Callithrix jacchus: one gene and its partners. The protein of the gene in region 3 purifies or fractionates together with the protein of the main gene of each other region. This does not show direct contact. Links are inferred from orthologs where the notes say so. Each region holds a gene or a part of one and is shown on either strand. Other genes may lie near its edges.

Region 1 (4,245 bases), on a different chromosome or scaffold from region 3:
CAGAAATCACCATCAAAGCAACAGCACAGTTCTGTGTCTTCTGAGAGGAAGGAGGAAGAGGGTGCCATGCAGAACTGTACACTCAGTCCCTCTGTGCTCCAGGACTCCCTCAATAATGTGAGCGATGGAGAGGGAATTGGGCAGGCCTGAGAGCAGGACAGTAACTAGAGGGAGAGGTGGGCCAATGAAAGCATCTTCAGAGGCCAAGGTGGGCACATCGTCTGAGGTCAGGAGTTCAAAACCAGCCTTGACCAACATGGTGAAACCTTGTCTCTACTAAAAATCCAAAAATTAGCTGGTCATAGTGACAGCTGCCTGTAATCACAGCTACTCGGGAGACTGAGGCAGGAGAATAGCTTGAACCTGGGATGTGGAGGTTGCCATGAGCCGAGATTGCGCTATTGCACTGCAGCCTGGGTGACAGAGTGAGACTCCGTCTCAAAAAAAAAAGCGAAAAAACACTGTGTCTGCAGGAAGAGGAGGGAGCCAGTGGGGGAGCAGTCCATTCAGACATCGGAAGCAGCAGCAGCAGCAGCAGCCCTGAACCACAGGAAGGTACCACCTGCTTGCCTCTTGTGTCATCCACCATGTCACACACTCTGGCCCAAGACTCCCCAGCCCCACTCTGAATGACCAGTGCCTTTGCTTCCCTTCCAGGTACAGATACAACTGAGGCCCCCTTACAAGGGGATCAGGTGTCCCTGGAGTTTCTACTTCCTCCAGAGCCAGGTACGTGACATTTCTAACTTTCTCCTGTGTTCCTGAGGCCTTCCTCCTTTGATCGTACATGCATTATCTAGTCAGTCAGGGCTTACAGGAAACTGTGACCATCTTATCATAGCCCAAGGCACTTGTTTCTAGGTGGTGAGATTCCACATACCTGGCCAGACTCTAAAAAGCTTGCTTCCCAAAAATACCACCCTATACACTCTCCTGGAAATCCACACTGAGACACTAATTTCTTTGGGCCAAACAGAGCCCCAGTCTCAAGGGACCTTCTTGTAAATGACAGGACCCTGGGCATTAAGCCCTGAGGCCTCATGGTGAATCACTCAGTAGTACTAGCTACTTGCCTGAGTGATGGGAAAACCTGAGGGGAAGCCCCCTGGCCAGTGAGGGGAGGGGAGTGGAGATGTTCCCCTGGGGAGGGGCTACCACCAGCCTGCATGCTCCTCCAGCACCAGGTACAGCTAGACTGTTCTATCCCCAGACTACTCACTGCTGCTCACCTTCATCTACAACGGGCGCGTGGTGGGCGAGGCCCAGGTGCAAAGCCTGGACTGCCGCCTCGTGGCTGAGCCCTCAGGCTCTGAGAGCAGCATGGAGCAGGTGTTATTCCCCAAGCCTGGCCCACTGGAGCCCACGCAGCGCCTACTGAGTCAGCTTGAGAGGGGCATCCTGGTGGCCAGCAACCCCCGAGGCCTCTTCGTGCAGCGCCTTTGCCCCATCCCCATCTCCTGGAATGCACCCCAGGCTCCACCTGGGCCAGGCCCACATCTGCTGCCCAGCAACGAGTGTGTGGAGCTCTTCAGAACTGCCTACTTCTGCAGAGGTGAGGATGCTCTCACTGGGCACCTGAGCTCCTATCTTAGTACCCCCCGGGCCCAACTTGGTGGGTCCTGCCACCACCCTGTTTGCCAGCAGATCTTCCATGTAGCCTATGCATGGCACTCCTGCACTTGTGTGGTGCACATCGTGTTTGGCCATATGCCCAGCCTGGCAGCTATATGGCAGCTCTTCTCCAGCCAAGACAGTGGAAGAGGAGGTTCAGGTAGAGCTCAGCACAAGAGTGTCACATCTTGGGGAACACCATCACACTGAAGCGTGCAGTCATTATGTGAAGGTGCACAGAAGAATTGGCACAGAGTGAGCCTCATGGCCTTGTCCTATGTACACACATTTGGGAGAGCTGGCACACATCATACCTCTGGCTCTGGCTGCATCATCTCTACTATACTCCAGGAATGCCCTAGGGTTGCCCCCCTCTCCTATCCAGTTCCAGTTCCTACTCAATTCTAAATCTGACTTAAGAGTGGGGCCAGGAGTACAGGGGGTATAGAGTGTGGGTGTTCCCAGGGCCATGGGTACCCTAGCACTGAGAGGGTATGAGCAAGCAGCAAAAGTCTGGGCACATCTGTGTTAGCAGCCAGGGCTGCGGCCTGGGAGGACTCTTAAACTCTCTCAGCAGAGAGAGCTTTTCAGGTTGTGCAGTGATCTGCTACTTCTAACACTTATTTGAGGCAGGGGCACCCTTTCCCGTTTGCACATGGGTGAGTAGCATTTAGTTCCGAGCACTTCTCCTGACCTTGCAGCTCCTGCTCTGGCCTGGGGCTCCATGTGGACCCCCCCTCCTAACTATCTCCATCATGGGTTCCTCACTATTGCCTCCCAACCTGTGGCCCTCTCTCTTGTTTTTCTCCTTCCAACCCTTGACCCTTTCTCTTTCAGACTTGGCCAGGTACTTCCAGGGCCTGGGCCCCCCACCCAAGTTCCAGGTAACACTGAATTTCTGGGAGGAGAGCTGTGGCCCCAGCCATACTCCACAGAATCTTATCACAGTGAAGGTGAGCTCAGAGCAGGGGCAGAGTAGCCTATCTAATGAGAGTAGGGGCAGTGGTGGTCCAGGAGGTGAAGGGGGTCTCCCAGTGGGGAAGGAGCTCCTGGGGGTGGTGTCTGTCCCTGATGCACTCACTGAGACGCTCTTCTCCATCTCTTCCAATACAGATGGAGCAGGCTTTTGCCCGACACTTACTGGAGGAGACTCCAGAGCAGCAGGCAGCCATTCTGTCCCTGGTGTAGAGCCTGGGGAGCCCATCTTCCACCTCACTTCTTTGTTCTGCCTGTCTCCTTTGAAATAGACTCATTCTTCACATGATTGACCTGTCCTCCTCGTGATAATTCTCAGTGGTTGTCTGTGATAGTTGTGTCCTTAAAATCCTCGCACACACTGGCTGGTGGAGAACTCAAGGCTAATATTTTGTCCTTTCTTTTTTTAAATTTTTTATTTTTTGGATTTTGAGATACACACCTTCTTTCATGTGTAAGGGACTGAGAAATTCAAACGGTGTGAACCCAGGGATCTTTCCCTCTTTCCTGACCTCCCAACTCTAAAGCCAAGCACTTTATATTTTCCTCTTAGTTATTCACTAAGGATTTAAAATAAAATTTTATTGAAAGAGGAATCAGTATCTGATTTTTCTGGGAGACAGAGATGTAAACTTATGAGCAGGACACTGGGGTTTTCTTCCTTCTGACATCTTCAAAGCTCTTTCCTCTCCTCTGCCCACAGGTTCTGGCTAAGATGCTGTCTGGGCCCTGTGGGTCCTGGGCCTGGCACTCTGCAGAGGTACTCTCTAGGCAGCCATGATTAGGGAGAGGGTTGGGATTGGCCATTGAAAGGGCACCGAGCCTTCAGCCAGGCACTATAGCCACCAACTTCTCATGGTAGTCTGGGCTCCACAGTTCTTGCTAAGAGCACCAACATCGGGCCTGGGGTTAGACTAGAAGTCTGAAGAGGAGACACTTGAGGGTGACCCAAAACTGTTCTAGAGGCCCTGGGGCCTGAGAATAGAGGAGTCAGAAGAGTTGCTAAACCTGTACCTGCTGTTCCTGGCACCCCTTCCCCCAGCACAAATTGTGCTGTCACCCCAGCAGGGTACTCCCAAACTGGATTCCTTGCTCTAAGTCCCATAAAAGATACTCCAGCCTAGACTGCCATGTCCAACATGCTTTTCATGAGACTTGAGGGCTCCAAATCGACTTACACTCCCTTCCCTTTCCTCTGTGTTCATTTTACTACCAAACTGGAAGTTTTTCCTTCACAAGGCCACTTGTCACCTACTTTTTTGTATATTAACTTCCAGCAAACTAGTTCCAACCCAGGCCACAGCCTTCAGCCTCTGTCTTCCTGCATCCAACACCAGCTTAGCTTTCTAGACTTCCTCCTGTGATTTCACTCATCAGCCCTCAATGGCTCACACACAATCAAATCTGGATGCCTAAGTCCTCCTATGACCCTCCTCCTGCCTCTTTTGACAAGCTTCAGTACTGCCTTTGAGCCTCCCTTCTTCCATGGACCTCCCTTCTTCTCTTCAGTCTTGTCCATCATCCTGGGAAGCCAAGCACCTATACAGGCTCTGCACTAGCAGTGAAGAAATCAGGTACTGAGTGTAGAGGCGTGCAACCTTGTGCTCTCAATTTGATGAAATTCCTCCTAGACCTTTGTACAAGGTCTAAATTACCTCC
Region 2 (4,988 bases), on a different chromosome or scaffold from region 3:
CAGCCCTCCTTTAACCCTAATCCCACAAGGAGGTATCTATTGTCCCCATTTTCATGACAAACTAAGTCTCTCAAAAGGTATAGTGAATGGATCCGAAGACACACAGCAAGTGGGGACAGTGGAACTTGAACCCAGGTCTGTCTGACTCCTGAGCCCTTACCAAACTTTGATCCCCATCTCTTGGGCTGACCCCTCCCTGCTCCCCACCTCACTCCCAGCTTCCAGCCACCCGGCACTTCCCACACCCCTGGCTCTCATCCTTTCCAGGCCTTCCTGCTAGTGAACTCCTACTCCACTTCCAAAGCCCAGTCTCAAATATCCGCTCCTCTTGAAACCTCAAATACTCACATCAACATTTTATGGGGGATTAGATCCTCCATAAAATATGGGCATGCAGCCTGCAGATCTAGTTCTCTCATCAGATCTGTTTCTATTGATCAGCTCTGTACCTCTGGCCTCCAGCATCGGGCTGTTCACACAGGGGACACCAATCAGCCCCCTGTGTGACAATGAAGGCCAAACTCTTCCCCAGGGCCCACAAGGCCCCCACATGGTCCAGCCCTGCTGATCTACCCCCTTGTTCTGTCCTCACCCACTCCCCCCATTGTGCGAACTCTGGCCTCGGAGTTTCTCCCACTGATTCTCCATGACAGCACACGTCTTGGCACCTACCTCAGGGCCTTTGCACGTGCATGTCCTGCTGCCTGGCAAGCCCTTTCCCTAACTCCATGCCTGGCCAACCCCTACATGCCTCCTTCAAGATTCCTCTTTACCCCAGGCCTCTCTCCCTGAGCTCTTATCATATCTGTGATTATACAGTAACTCATGGCAATGTGTTTGCAACTTTGCCCACCCTTCAGATTCAAACTTCTGGGAGGCCAAGGACCTGTTCCCAGGTCCCCAGCAAGTATCCAACCAGGCTGACCACACCCCACCACCCCGGGGCCCCGGGGAAGGGAAAAAAAAGCTCTCTCTCCCCTTCTTTGTTGGGTGAACTCCTGGTTGTCCTCAGCTCAGGCCCTGCCACCTTCTGGAAGCCTCCAGGATTCCCACAGCTGCTGCTCCCTGCTAACCCCAGCACAATACTGCTCAGCCCGAGTTCCAAGCTCCAGGTACACAGCAGGTGCTTAATACAGAGTCACAAATGCTTATACATGGGAAGGTTTGAGAACATGGGGTCAGCTGAAGAACAGGGGGATGGGCGGAGTCCCTCAACAGGTCACTGAGCCATCTCCTCTCTGGTTCCTAGGGCTTGGGGGAGCCAGACATCCCTCCACCCCCACCCAACAGGCCGCAGTCAGAGAAGCAAAAGCAGGAGCCAGGCTGAGCTGTGGATAACTCATGCTCCAAGAAGAGATAGGGGACAAGGAGAGAGAGCCAGGGACCTTCTTCCTAGGAGAGGTGGGCCTAAGCCTGCTGAGGCAAGGGCAGATATGCAGCACCTGGAGGAAAGGGCACTCTAAGAGGGACACGGTTTAAGAGCAAAGGCCCAGGAGCAGGCAGGCAGTCAGCTTTGGGAGGTGACACACTGTAAATCATTTCCTCGGATGGAAATACCAGATCACCACATCACCAAAAAGTCCTCGTGGCTTTCACTCAATCCCTCGACAGAACAGTTTCTTCCAACACGGCTGTGCAAGCAGTCCTGTCTTGGGGACCTCCACTGCCCCAGCACCGAGGGATGCAAGGACAGCCAGACTGTGTCTCTGAGGTCTGGGCTTTAATTCCAGCTTCCAACTGTATGGCCTTGGCAAGTCACTTCTCTCTTAGCCTCAGTTTCCCCCATCATCAGCAAAACAAGGATAAACAAGAGTCCCTACCTCTGAAAAGGTGTTCAGTAGATGTTAGCAACTGTCATGACCGCTGGCCCACTTTTATCCTTGGCAAAACTGAGGCCAGAGGGGAAGAGTGAGTTGCTCGAGGTCACACAGCTGCTGGCAGGATCGGCCCCGGCTGTTTCTTTCTCAAGACACCAATCCATACTCTTCTAGAATGAACTAGCCAGCAACCTCGCCTCTCACCCATCTTTCTCAGCCAATGCATTCGGTGAAGACTTCATTCATTGAGCATCTACTAGAATCTTCACCTGAGGATTCTCATTTCACCTATGGGGAACTTAAGAGGGCGGTGTCTTGGCCCAGGTCACCAGGTGAGACAAGAGCCTCAGTCTTGACCCCCCAGCAAGGGGGCTGAGAAGAGGGTCAGCAACAGGCCCAGCCTGGCCCACACTGTGGCTGTGGCTGGGTCTGGACATACCCCAGGTGACCGGGCAACCACTGCCCCAAATTGTAAAGAGTCCACAAAGTTCAGGAGGCCTTGCCCAGGGGCACACACAGGCTCTGTCCACTCTTAAGTCCACCTGAAGGATGCAGGGGCCGAAAGGATACCACATAGGTGAGCCCCTTCTGTTCACCCCATCCTTCCACCAGCCCAGCAATTCCAGCCAGGCCCACCTGCCACTGATGAGGACCCCAGCTCAGAGAGGCAGGCAGTTGTCTGAGGACACACAGCAGGGCAAGTGGCAGCCCTGGTGGGGACTCATACCCACCCCCAATCCCAGCCCAGGCAGAGAGGTGGACCTGGCCCGGTGGCCAACACCCAAAACTTTTGCCAACTTCTGAGCCGGCTGGTGGCTGGGCCTACTCAGGGGCGAGGCTGGGGGCTGTGGACAGTGGAAACCCAACGCAGTCTGGCCCAGTCCCTTCCAGGCCGGCAGCACCAGGCCCTACCCAAGGCCCCACGAGGGCAGGGAGGTCCTGGCGGCTCGGCCTGGCGCCCTGACCCCGGGGCCCCTCAGCCCGCTCTGCCGATTCCCCCCACCTCCTACCCCCGGCCGGGGGTCGCAGGGCCAGGCAGCCACGGCCAGAGGCGGCGCCTACTGGCTCAGATTTCAGATTTGGCCTAGACCTGGCCCGGGGGCTAGGGCCCAGCTCGCCCGCTTCTCTGGGGGATCCTATGGGGAGCACGAGCTGGAGGGGGTCCCCACGCAGCCAGGACCCCTGCGCCCCCCCGCCCAGCCCCCTCTCCCCGCGGCATCACAACAAAAGGCCTCGCCGGGCATGGCCCCGTGGGCCCGCCCGGCGCTGGGGTATCGCGGCTCGGCCCCGGGGAGTGGGAATTGGGGGGTAGACAGGAGCCCCAGTAGGCCGACGATCCGACGCCAGGGTGGTCCGGGGCGGGGGCTCCCCGGCGCAGGCCGTGGCTGGGGGCTCGCGGAGGGGCGGGGGACGCTCACCTGGGCCGGCAGGCAGGCGGGCAGGCGGGCAGACGCACCGGCAGACGGACGCACTGGAGGGCGGACCGCGGGACCGTCAGCGGGTCGGGCAGACGGCGGCCTGGCCGCTCCGGCTCCCAGGCCGGAATGGATTCCGGGCCGGGAGAGACAGATCGAGAGAGAAAGGGAGGAGGAGGAGGAGGAGGCGGCGGCGGCCCGGGGAGGGGAAGAGGAGGGAGGGAGCGCGCGAGCCGGGAGGAGGGGCCCGGCAGGCAGCCGGGAGGAGGAGGAAGGAGGAAGCGCGCGGGGACGGATTCCCCGCCGGTGACCCAGGAGAGACCCAGGCGCGGCGCGAGCCGGGGGTCCGGGCGGGGCGGGGACGCCGGGCACAAAAGCCCCGCCCCCACTCCGCCGGGGCGCCCCACCCCGCGGGCCCCATCCGCCCCCAGGCCAAAATGCCCTCCCCAGCCCACCCACCCTTACGCCCCAGATCCACCTCTCCCGCAATCACGGTTAGTAATGATATCAGCGGGAGTGGAGCACCCGCTCTGTGCCAGGCGCCATGCTAAGCTGCTCAGGTCGACTTCAGGGTTTAAGCCTAACCACCACCTGGCCTGAGCTGAGGAAGATCATTCCCACTTTACAGATGCGGAAACTGAGGCACTGACAAGAACCAGGCCTTGGACCTTAGCCTTGACCTGAGTTTCTCAAAGTGGGGACTGGGGCAGGACGGGCAGGGTGGGGAGGAGCGACATTTATTTTAATAGATACGGGATCATTTTAAGCGCACAGGGAAAAAACGTCGCTGGCAGTCCATCGGAAGCTCCCTAGTTCCAGATAGTACTGCTTAGGAGGGGCTGACCAGGGCATCTGAGCGGCAATCACAGTTCCAAGTAAGTAAAGAGGCTAAGTACCTCTGAACCAGGGCAGCTGCTTATGGCCAGACTTCCCTGTCACCCCCATCACCCCTTGGCCCCAGCCTCCAGGGCGCTGGGCACCCCACCCTTGCCTCCTCACCTGTCCTGGAATCCTAGCACAGGGAAAAGTGGGCCTGGGTCTAGCTTTAAATACCACCCCTGCCTCCACATTTCTTCTTTGAAAGTTCTCTCCATTTCACAAATGGGAAATTAAGGCCCAGCCAGGTCAAAGGCAAACAGAAACCTTTGCCAGGGTTCTAATTTCTGGGCAAAGGTCCCTGCTGAGAGGAGCAGGGAGGAGCACGCTAGAATGTGGAAGGCAAAGGCTTCTGGGTACAACATACCTTCCAGGAGACCAAGAATGAGCAAAGCCTTACTCCACCCTGATCTCGGTTCGCATCTAGGCTAGCTGGCCCTCTGCAGCACGGTGGACAAGTCCATCAGCTTCCCAGCCCAGCCCCCTCACCTGTAAAACTGGAGTGGACATGGCCACAGAAGATTCCTGGGAAGGTTGGAACTGACCACTGTGAGGATGGTTGGGTGGTACTCAGTGAATAGCACCTCTTGCGGTGATAAGCCGAGGTCAGAGGGGAAAGGGGCGGCTGGAGATGCCACAGCAAGTCCACAGCAGAGGTCAGCCCAGCCTGGTGAAATGGCTGCACTTCCTTGCAAGGCTGGCTTAAAGATTAACCAAAGCTTCCCAGGACTCAGGCGGGCCCCTGGCTGGAGGAGCAGGTTTCCCAGCCCTCTTCCATTCCTTAGACATGTCTCAAGGCCTTTACTGGCCATACTGGGCTAAGGGGGAGGCAGAGACATTCACCCAGTGACACACTGGAGCTGGCTCTTACCAACTTGCA
Region 3 (4,249 bases):
CTGGTGTTTTGTCACATCTGAGTGTTCTGATTATCAGAAATAGGACTGAGTACTCCCAGGCAAGTCTGGTTTTATATTCATTATTGACTTTATAGTAGCAGATTTTCATTGATGCCCTTAATTCAATGCCTTTATGTTTCAGTACACCTCTGAATCACTCGAGATTGTGTGAAAATAGGGTTTTCTGATTCCATAATCGAATTAGCCCTTAGATTTTGCATTTCCAACAAGATCCTAGGTGGTGAGATGCTGCTGGTATGAGGACACACTTTGAATCAGAAAGCTTTAAGATAAAGAAGGACAGGGTTAGTAAGAGTAATCTTGTGTACAGTATTTGAGAAACTCTGAACTGAATTCTAGTGTGATGCTATGCAATTGTGTGAATTAATGGAAACTCCCAGAAATAATTACAGACATGAATTAAGCCTAGTTATTTTGCAGCCTTGTTAATAGTTTGCCAGCATTTTCCAGGATCTTGGGAAAAAATTCTTATTGACACATAAGTGGGAAGCCTGTAGTATGTGTCAGAAGATCTGGGAGGCAGGTGGGGACTTTGGAGTGTAACCAGCAAGTACACACCCTGGAGAAAATGATGTCTGTAATCATGCCCTTCCCATTACAGGCTCAGCTGGGGAGTATTCAGAGCACGGTGATGTTAGACAAACAGAAAGAGCTTGACAGCAAAGTCAGAAACGTGAAGGACAAGGTTATGGTAAGTACTGAGTAAACATGTGCGTTTATTCTAAAACTTTCTGTAGGGAAAAAAGGTTTCAGTCCCTTTGGGTGTAAACCTAGTAACTGAGTTCAGTCTTTTAAGTAGTTGGGAAGAAAAATGTTGCAGAAGTCTCAAGCTGTAAGTAAACAAATTGGTAAAATCAATGACCAGATAGACTTTTTAAATGGCCCCTTATTATAACTGCCAAACATTGAGCTTATCTTTTTCTTCCTTGAAAGATCATGCAGTAAATGTTGACTTTGCCCCAGTACCCAGTAAATGAGATGTTGCTGCTCTATTTAAGTCCACACCTTTCAATCACAGTGCCCAGGATAAACATGGCCCATCTTTCTCAATCACCTGTTTTATCCTAAGACTTGGAAGAGGAGTAAAAATACATTTTATTGAAATAAATTTGGATACATTTCTGATTAAGACATCCACAGCAATTTTAGGATAAAACTTCCAAGTCAATTTATGGAAGCAAAGGGCTGCTCTGGCGTTCTCGGTGGTGTACATTTATTCCTTTCCACTGTTAAGGTTGGTGCAGGGAGAGGTTGAGGAGTTCTTCACAAAAGCGTGTGTTGTGGAAAAGGCTTTCCAACTAAGGGGTGTGGTCCTCTGCGGATCTCTGGGTAGCACCAGTATGGCCTTGACTTACATGCTTCAGGCAGCATCTTTCCAAACTCCACATTCTTTGGAGAACTTTATCCATTCTTTGGAGCAAATTCTCCTAGGGAAACATTTCATTAAAGTAGAAACTAAGAGAGCCCAGTCCAGAAATAGCCATGGAAATCCAGAGAAGAATATGTAGAAATGTGACCAAATCCCAAACAAACAAGGCTTATTTGTAGAGTGAACATACAATTTATTGTCCAGATGGAGATGCATTTGAGCCAGCAGGAGGCCACTGTTTATAGAAAGTATGAAACTAGGTCTCTGCCAGTAAAGCAGGGATGTATGGTCACTTTTCTTATTGGAAAGGAGTGAGAAGATTTTCCATGAGCTTTTTATCCCTGTTGTGTGCTTCATAGTGGAGTTCTTAAATCGTGTCTCAGAGGTACTTAAATTGAGTTACTTAAGTATTTAAGTAACTCAGAGTTCTTTCTTTTTTTTTTTTTTTTGAGACGGAGTTTCGCTCTTGTTACCCAGGCTGGAGTGCAATGGCACGATCTCAGCTCACCTCAACCTCCGCCTCCTGGGTTCAGGCAATTCTGCCTCAGCCTCCGGAGTAGCTTGGATTACAGGCACACACCACCATGCCCAGCTAGTTTTTTATATTTTTAGTAGAGATGGGGTTTCACCGTGTTGACCAGGATGGTCTCAATCTCGACCTCGTGATCCACCCGCCTCGGACTCCCAAAGTGCTGGGATTACAGGCTTGAGCTACTGCGCCCGGCCTCCGAGTTCTTAAATTGTATCTCTCAAAAATGAGGAGGAAGAATCAAAATATTGGCCCTGAAACCAGGTTAAGAACATACAAATCAGTTTGAGAATTATTATACATTTGCTTTTTTTTAAAGTGTTATTACATACTTGTTAATGAAATATAAGTAATTTCATGTATATGATTAGACCTCTCCAAGTCAGATCTCTTTTTGAGGGAGCTGGAACTGTTTTCACGTTTCTCGGGGTTCCATAGGAACAAAACTCTGTTTTCTAAAGTCTTTGGAAGTCGCTGATCAGTAGAAAATATGTTTATGTCTTTATTTGTAGTGTATAGAGCATGAAATCAAGAACCTGGAAGATTTACAAGATGAGTATGACTTTAAATGCAAAACCTTGCAGAACAGAGGTAAGGCTTCACAATTGAAGGGGTGCCCATTGGCTGTAATTTTTTCTGTTCACACTAGATAGCGAATATGATTACTGCTTTTTATTTGCCAATTATTTTATGACTCTGAATTGTTCCTTGATAACCCAAGCCAGGGTTCCTTAACATCCAGTACCATTCATGTTTTAGGGCAGATAATTTGTTGTGGGGGCTGTCCTGGCATTGTAGAGTGTTCAACAGCATCCCTGACTTCTACCCACCAGATGCCAGTGGCACTAGCCAGGAACCCTCACTAGTGACAACCAAAATTGTCTTCAAACAATGCAAAAAGTCCCCTGGGGTCAGTGACCCATACTTGATAACCACGGGTTATGTGTTACTCACCTTTGAATTGCGTGTAGTCCACTGATTCATGCAGAGTGACAGAATGTGGAGTTCCCCTGCCCTAATATCTGAAGTTTCTTCAAACATTGCAGGTCCATTGTATACATGGCAGATAAGCTCAGTATTTTTCTCATGTTTTAAAGCAGTGTTACTCTATTTTGTTACTGTTGCTTGTTCTTAATGAGAGTAGCAACCAAAGATAACTCAAGATTGTGTGTTGTACAGAATATGTGGTGTACTACTGTTACTATATTCATCATCTGGCGTATACAACGGTTCATAGGCAGATTATAAGTATGATTTGGGTAAAAAGTATGAGAGACAGCGACTTCAACTACCACTTTATAATCATCTACTTCTCTTCAAAACCTACAGATATGCTTTGCATACATTTTTTTAACTGCAGTTTTGAACTTTGTTATGTACGTTTATTTAGGAAATTATCTGCCAGTGACTGCAGTGGCAGATACTACTATGTCTGATTTAGATGGGTCACTGAAAACAAGCGTTCTGTTTCAGTGTGTCTAGTTGTTATCCTTAGGACTTGTTTTCATGTTTAATAAAGATGGAAGAAAGCCAAACTTTGACCTGTCTCTAGGCGGCATCTGTATCTATTTATCCTAAGTTATATTATCTTGGCTTTTGTTGGTTTTGTCTTATTTATGTAAATATATTTACTGGCTGTCTCTCAATTTATAGAACACGAGACCAATGGTGTGGCGAAGAGTGATCAGAAACAAGAACAGCTGTTACTCAAGAAGATGTATTTAATGCTTGACAATAAAAGAAAGGTAGTTATTTACTTTCCAGAATAGCATGCTGCTTTTGTTACAGACTATGCATAATGGACTCAATTTCAGAAGAGAGGAAACATTATTTTTTTAACCCCCTTGCTTAGAACCCCAGTTGAGAATGAAACGATACTTGCTTTTCTTTTAAAAAATATTTGAAAATTCAGTGATTAAAAATGAATTTATTTCACTATTTCTTCCACTGCCTTTAGGAAGTAGTTCACAAAATAATAGAGTTGTTGAATGTCACTGAACTTACCCAGAATGCCCTGATTAACGATGAACTAGTGGAGTGGAAGCAGAGACAGCAGAGCGCCTGTATTGGGGGGCCACCCAATGCTTGCCTGGATCAACTGCAGAACTGGTAAGATTCTCCAAAGTGGAAAACCAGCAGCTGACTAGCTAACCACATAAGCTCATCAATGCCCCTTTGAGCTGTGTTGAATGGACCTTGTCAAAATGTTGGTATAGAGTTTGATGTAGTCCAGCTTCTGCTTACCCTGGACACAGTCCCTTGGAAAGCACAGTGTTATTCATGACTCTTGCCACATTCAGCCACGTCTGCTTGGTGTGGAGCAGTCCTGT
Region 4 (4,736 bases), on a different chromosome or scaffold from region 3:
TATCTAAAATAAAAGCAGACAAATTACAGCAAAAGGATCAAAATTAAGTCGCTATTTCTTGAAAATAAAGAGGCAGAAAATAACAATAGAATTTACTAACATACTTATAGAAACTTTTATAATTATGGTTTCTCTTCCCATTTATTTACTCCACTACAATGATGATGAACTTCTTCCCTCCCACTCTTCTTCCTGTAAATTAAAATGGCAATATAACTTGGTTTGAGTTTTACTCCAAAAAAATGTATATATTTTAAAGTACTTTAAGAGGAGCTGCATGAAGCTGTCAGCTTTTTAACTACCAAGATCATCTGGTCATCACAACCTCCTGCTTTTAAGTTCCCAAAGATGACAAAATACTCTCCACATTCTTAAAAATGTCATTTATGGGTATTCTCCTAATGAAAAATTAAAGCTTTCATAAACAAATGTGCATAGAGAATTCATTTTGATATGTATGACTTACAATCTAATTTTTATTGGCAATATCTTGAAGTGTTGCAGCGTGCACAATTCCTACAGGGGATAAAGATCTGTTTTCCCATCTGATGTTCGCAGATTCCTTATAGATTTAAAAGGACTCACTAAAAAAACCATGAGGAAAATAATTATGAATACAATCCACAGCAAAATGAAGTGTGGGGCTGAGACCTAAGATAATGAAAGTCACGGTATTTACACAAAAGCTTTCACAGCTGAAGTACTCTATACCCATTTAAAATTTCAAAAAAAAAATCTAGATTTTTTTTCTTCTTACTCTGATTTTACCTATCATAATAGGAATGTATGATATTTACCTCCAAAAATCACAAACAAAAAGCCTTCCATAAATATCATTTCCAAAAGAAGTATCTGCCAAACCTTACTGCACAGAAAATTATATATACACATTCTTTTTTTTAACACATTCTCGAATAACTATGGTAGGCGTTCCTGAGATCACCTCCTCCACCCCCCAAAAAAGAAACAGCAAATCTAACCACAATGAAGTACTAACCAAATTTTTTTTAACACAGCTAACACCAGCTAAGCAGTTTATCACACAGCTCCTCAAAGTCTCAGACATACACAATGACATACCAACATGTCAAAACAGTTATTATAATTTGAAAAAGTATACAACAGGAGCATAAAAGTAGAAAAAAAAATTCCTCTGGAAAAACTCAAGTAGATTTTGGAGAGAGCAAAAAAGGAGACTAATTTTAGAAAAATAACATTTCTTCAAGTGTTTGGTGTTTATCTGATACTGGTTCATTTTTGTAAAGAGAAACTTTACCTAACAAGACTCACACCAGGGATCTGATCTATCCCCAAAGGCACTTTCTTAAAATGAGAAAGAACAAAGAAGGAAATCTCTCAGCATGTGCTTTCCATACTAGTTTCTTTGGACAGCATCAAGAGTGACAATATAGTCTGCACAAGTTTTTCAGCTTTATTCTATGGTCTATGTATAACAACTGATTAGCTATCATTCAAAAGAACTCCTAACAAAATAAATATTAGAAGGCAAAGACCACAGCAACATGGTAACTCTATTTTAAGAGAAAAACATGTCTTAAAGTTGTGCTTTTTTTTTTTTTATTTCAAAGGTTAATTATCTCCAAATATTCAAATTCCTAAGGCTTTCTCATTTCAGGCAATAGTTTGAAACTGGGGAAAAACCAAACCATCCATTCTAAACCTGCTCTCCCTTAAGTAAATTTGTAATTAAAGTACATGTTAAAAGAATGACACTCAAAGCCAATACTTTAATATACAAATCTTGGAATGTAAACATTGTGAAGTTATTAGGAGAAAAGATCTTTCGGTGAGGCTATTCCACAGGAAAAACTCTACAGAATCAAATCAGGCATTTGGTTGTTCTAGAAGTTGTGGTTTCATTATAACGGAGAAAAAAGTTACATAATTTTTATTAATTATAAAAAGAAGGCTCTCCCCAAAGATTTACAATTGTATATCCCAATCTCCACTCCGACAGAGATGTCAGTTCTCTGGGTCGAGATATAACCAGCTGCTGGGTTCACACACGCAGTAAGCCATAGAGAAGATCGAGTTCAGAGCCTCGAAATAATACGCGTTAGTTAAGAACTGCCTGCTACTAAACCAAAATTATTCAAGCGGAGCCCCATTTGTCACAATCCAATCATAAGGGTTTCACCCCTCCTCCCCCAACTGCTTGTGTAGTGGTATATCTGCTTCGGTAAAGAAGCCATCATCAGGTAAAGATTGGGGTGGGAGAAAAGCGGGGAAAAGGGGGCACCCTTTCATCTAATTTCGTGAGGTGTGGGTAATTGGTACAGTTAAGAGGAACGTTCTATTTATCGGGGGTTGGAGTAGCGTGAGGGGAGAATTTCGTTCAAATCAACATGGCCAGCAAGCTGTCCCTACAAACAAAAGGCAATGGGGGGATATAAACACGAACCATTCACCTCCATCAGCTACAGCATCGCCATCATGGTGTGTGCAGAGACCCCCCAAAGGCTCCTCTCACCCTCCACACCAGCCAAGGCAAGAGAAGGGAGAGAGGTAGATGGATCCCCCCTCCCACCACTGCTTCCAAAGACTCACTCTTGGAGGGGGGTTTCTCCCTTCGGCTGCCTGGAATCAGAGAGAGAGAGTAACGTCCCGCCCAGGCTGACTCCCCCCGGCTACCTCTCAGCCGAACCCCAACGTCGGCCCGGGGCTCGCCAAACTTTACCAGAGCTTCTCCCCGAGATCCCCACCCTATAGCCCTAGGATCGCGCTTCCCCACAAGCGGGGCACCCCAGGCGCTTCCTGACAAGCGAGCAGCCGGGGAAAGCCGAGTCCGGGGCGGGGGCGACAGGGATCCACGGAGGGGCGGGGCGGCCGGAGCCAAGTTCCCGGGGGTCTGAGAAGAGCGCCTGACAGGAGCCCGGGACTGCAAAGGAGGAAGAGGAAGCGGCCACGGGGAGCTTTCCCAATCCCCCCTACAAGAGCACCCTGCCCCCAGCCCCAGCTCCCCATGGGGGGCGGGGAGGCTAACTGAAGGTGAAAAAGCCGAGCCCGGGAGACAGCTGCAGCCCCTACCTCCCGACTCCCTATCTCTTCCCCCGCCACCCCCGCCAGAGGCGCCCACAACAATAACACGCCGGGGACGACCCGTCAGCGCCCCCGAGGCACCCGGGGCCCGCGGCCCGCCGCAGCCGGGCCCCCTCTGCTGAGACTGGGCGCGCCTCTCTCCCTGCAACTCCAAGCCCGGGTGGAGTCAGGCCCGAGCGGCCCCCCAGGGTCGGACCCATCCCCCTCGGCACCAGCGGCGCCGTCTCCGCGGCCGAATATTAGAAGTGAATTCGAGCTGCGCTTTACCTTTAGTTCCGCACTGTCCGCCATCTTGCGTCTGTCAGCGCAAGCGCAGTGAACGTTGCCGGGGGCCGCCGTTAGGCCCGCCTCTCCAGCCTGCCTGGCCCCACCCCTCCCCGCCCCTCCACCTTCCCAGCCCGCCTCTTGCCTCCGCCCCGCTCCGGGCGCTCGAAGCCCCGCCCCGGGCACGTACAGCTGCGAGACAAGCACGTACCATTTAAATAATGGCGCCAAGCCGCGAGGTTTGACAGTTACTGCCCCCACGGCCTCCCAGCCCCCCATCCTCGCTCGGCCAGCCCTCCCGGGAAGGGCCGGAGCGAGAGGGATGCTGGCCTGAGCCCCATCTCTCCGCAGTCCGCGGAATGCTTCTGCATAGCTTCGACGCCTACGGTCACAGAAACAATACTGTCCCCCAACCCCCAATAAGCAAGGCTTTTCAGCACCTGCTACGTGCAAGGCTACCAGTGGGCAAAAAATAGAAATCCGTTACATTTAAGGGACCCTTTAATGAAGCATTTCTAGGATTATTGGCTCAGAGCCTCCTCTTGATAACGCGGTGAGATAGGCAAGGAAAAGATAATTCCCATGGTATAGATTCAGAAATGAAAGCTCAGAGAGAAAAAGCGACTTGCATATAAACAAGGATTTAACGAGGTGGCTGGCGTAAGACAAAACTGTGAAGGTGTTCATTAATATTTTTGTTTTCAAAAGTATGTATTTAGTGACTATCTGCTGGACCTGTGCTAACGGCTAAATGTACATTGGGAAATCAAAGTCCCTGCCCTTCTGTAGTTCTCTAATGAGGAATTAGACAAGGGAACGAATAAAGATAACAAATGGTAGTGAGTACCACAAAGGAGAAAAAGGTTTATTGAGAGAGAGAAAGGGTTTGGGAGATGTCCTTAATTCTGGGAAGGCTTTCTCCACTAAATTGACATTTAAGTAGACTTGATGGCCGGGCATGGTGGCTCACTCCTGTAATCCCAGCACTTTGGGAAGCCAAGGCGGGTGGATCACTTGAGGTCAGGAGTTCGAAATCAGCCTGTCCAACAAGGCAAAACCCCGTCTCTACTAAAAATACAAAATTAGCTGGGCATGGTGGTGCATGCCTGTAATCCCAGCTACTCAGTAGGCTGAGGCAGGAAAATCGCTTGAACCTGGGGGGCGGAGGTTGTAGTGAGCCAAGATCATGCCACTGCACTCCAGCCTGGGCGACAAGAGCAAAACTCCATCCCCCAGGCCCCCCAAAAAAGTAGAGTTGATGGAAAGATTATTTCCTTTTGTCTCTACGAAAAGCCTTCTATATACCTCCTCCCCAAATCCCACTTTTTGCTAATCAACTTTTCCTCATACCTCGTGAAAAAAATGAAGGATATCAGAAATAAACTCCCTGATCTTCTCACCATCAAAACTAC

Evidence for each region.
Region 1: the proteins of STAT1 (region 3) and IRF9 purify together in Homo sapiens (affinity purification with western blotting; 5 studies listed by BioGRID and IntAct, with this or other methods). This does not show direct contact. The link is inferred for Callithrix jacchus from reciprocal best matches to the Homo sapiens genes STAT1 and IRF9.
Region 2: the proteins of STAT1 (region 3) and SRC purify together in Homo sapiens (affinity purification with western blotting; 3 studies listed by BioGRID). This does not show direct contact. The link is inferred for Callithrix jacchus from reciprocal best matches to the Homo sapiens genes STAT1 and SRC.
Region 4: the proteins of STAT1 (region 3) and PIAS1 purify together in Homo sapiens (affinity purification with western blotting; 5 studies listed by BioGRID). This does not show direct contact. The link is inferred for Callithrix jacchus from reciprocal best matches to the Homo sapiens genes STAT1 and PIAS1.

What each region holds. Positions count from the first base shown.
Region 1 is NC_133509.1:58,471,753-58,475,997, forward strand, and holds the end of IRF9 (interferon regulatory factor 9), read left to right. Parts: coding exon 1-117; intron 118-412; coding exon of another isoform or gene 413-473; coding exon 474-555; intron 556-657; coding exon 658-729; intron 730-1,210; coding exon 1,211-1,552; intron 1,553-2,448; coding exon 2,449-2,564; intron 2,565-2,724; coding exon 2,725-2,799; 3' UTR 2,800-3,182; downstream 3,183-4,245.
Region 2 is NC_133506.1:32,782,092-32,787,079, reverse strand, and holds the start of SRC (proto-oncogene tyrosine-protein kinase Src), read right to left. Parts: upstream 3,364-4,988; 5' UTR 3,236-3,363; intron 1-3,235. UniProt on the Homo sapiens protein: Non-receptor protein tyrosine kinase which is activated following engagement of many different classes of cellular receptors including immune response receptors, integrins and other adhesion receptors, receptor protein tyrosine kinases, G protein-coupled receptors as well as cytokine receptors.
Region 3 is NC_133507.1:37,804,515-37,808,763, forward strand, and holds part of STAT1 (signal transducer and activator of transcription 1-alpha/beta), read left to right. Parts: intron 1-622; coding exon 623-712; intron 713-2,431; coding exon 2,432-2,510; intron 2,511-3,572; coding exon 3,573-3,664; intron 3,665-3,876; coding exon 3,877-4,028; intron 4,029-4,249. UniProt on the Homo sapiens protein: Signal transducer and transcription activator that mediates cellular responses to interferons (IFNs), cytokine KITLG/SCF and other cytokines and other growth factors.
Region 4 is NC_133509.1:15,176,225-15,180,960, reverse strand, and holds the start of PIAS1 (E3 SUMO-protein ligase PIAS1), read right to left. Parts: upstream 3,364-4,736; 5' UTR 3,352-3,363; coding exon 3,328-3,351; intron 2,803-3,327; exon of another isoform or gene 2,569-2,802; intron 1-2,568. UniProt on the Homo sapiens protein: Functions as an E3-type small ubiquitin-like modifier (SUMO) ligase, stabilizing the interaction between UBE2I and the substrate, and as a SUMO-tethering factor. Catalyzes sumoylation of various proteins, such as CEBPB, MRE11, MTA1, PTK2 and PML.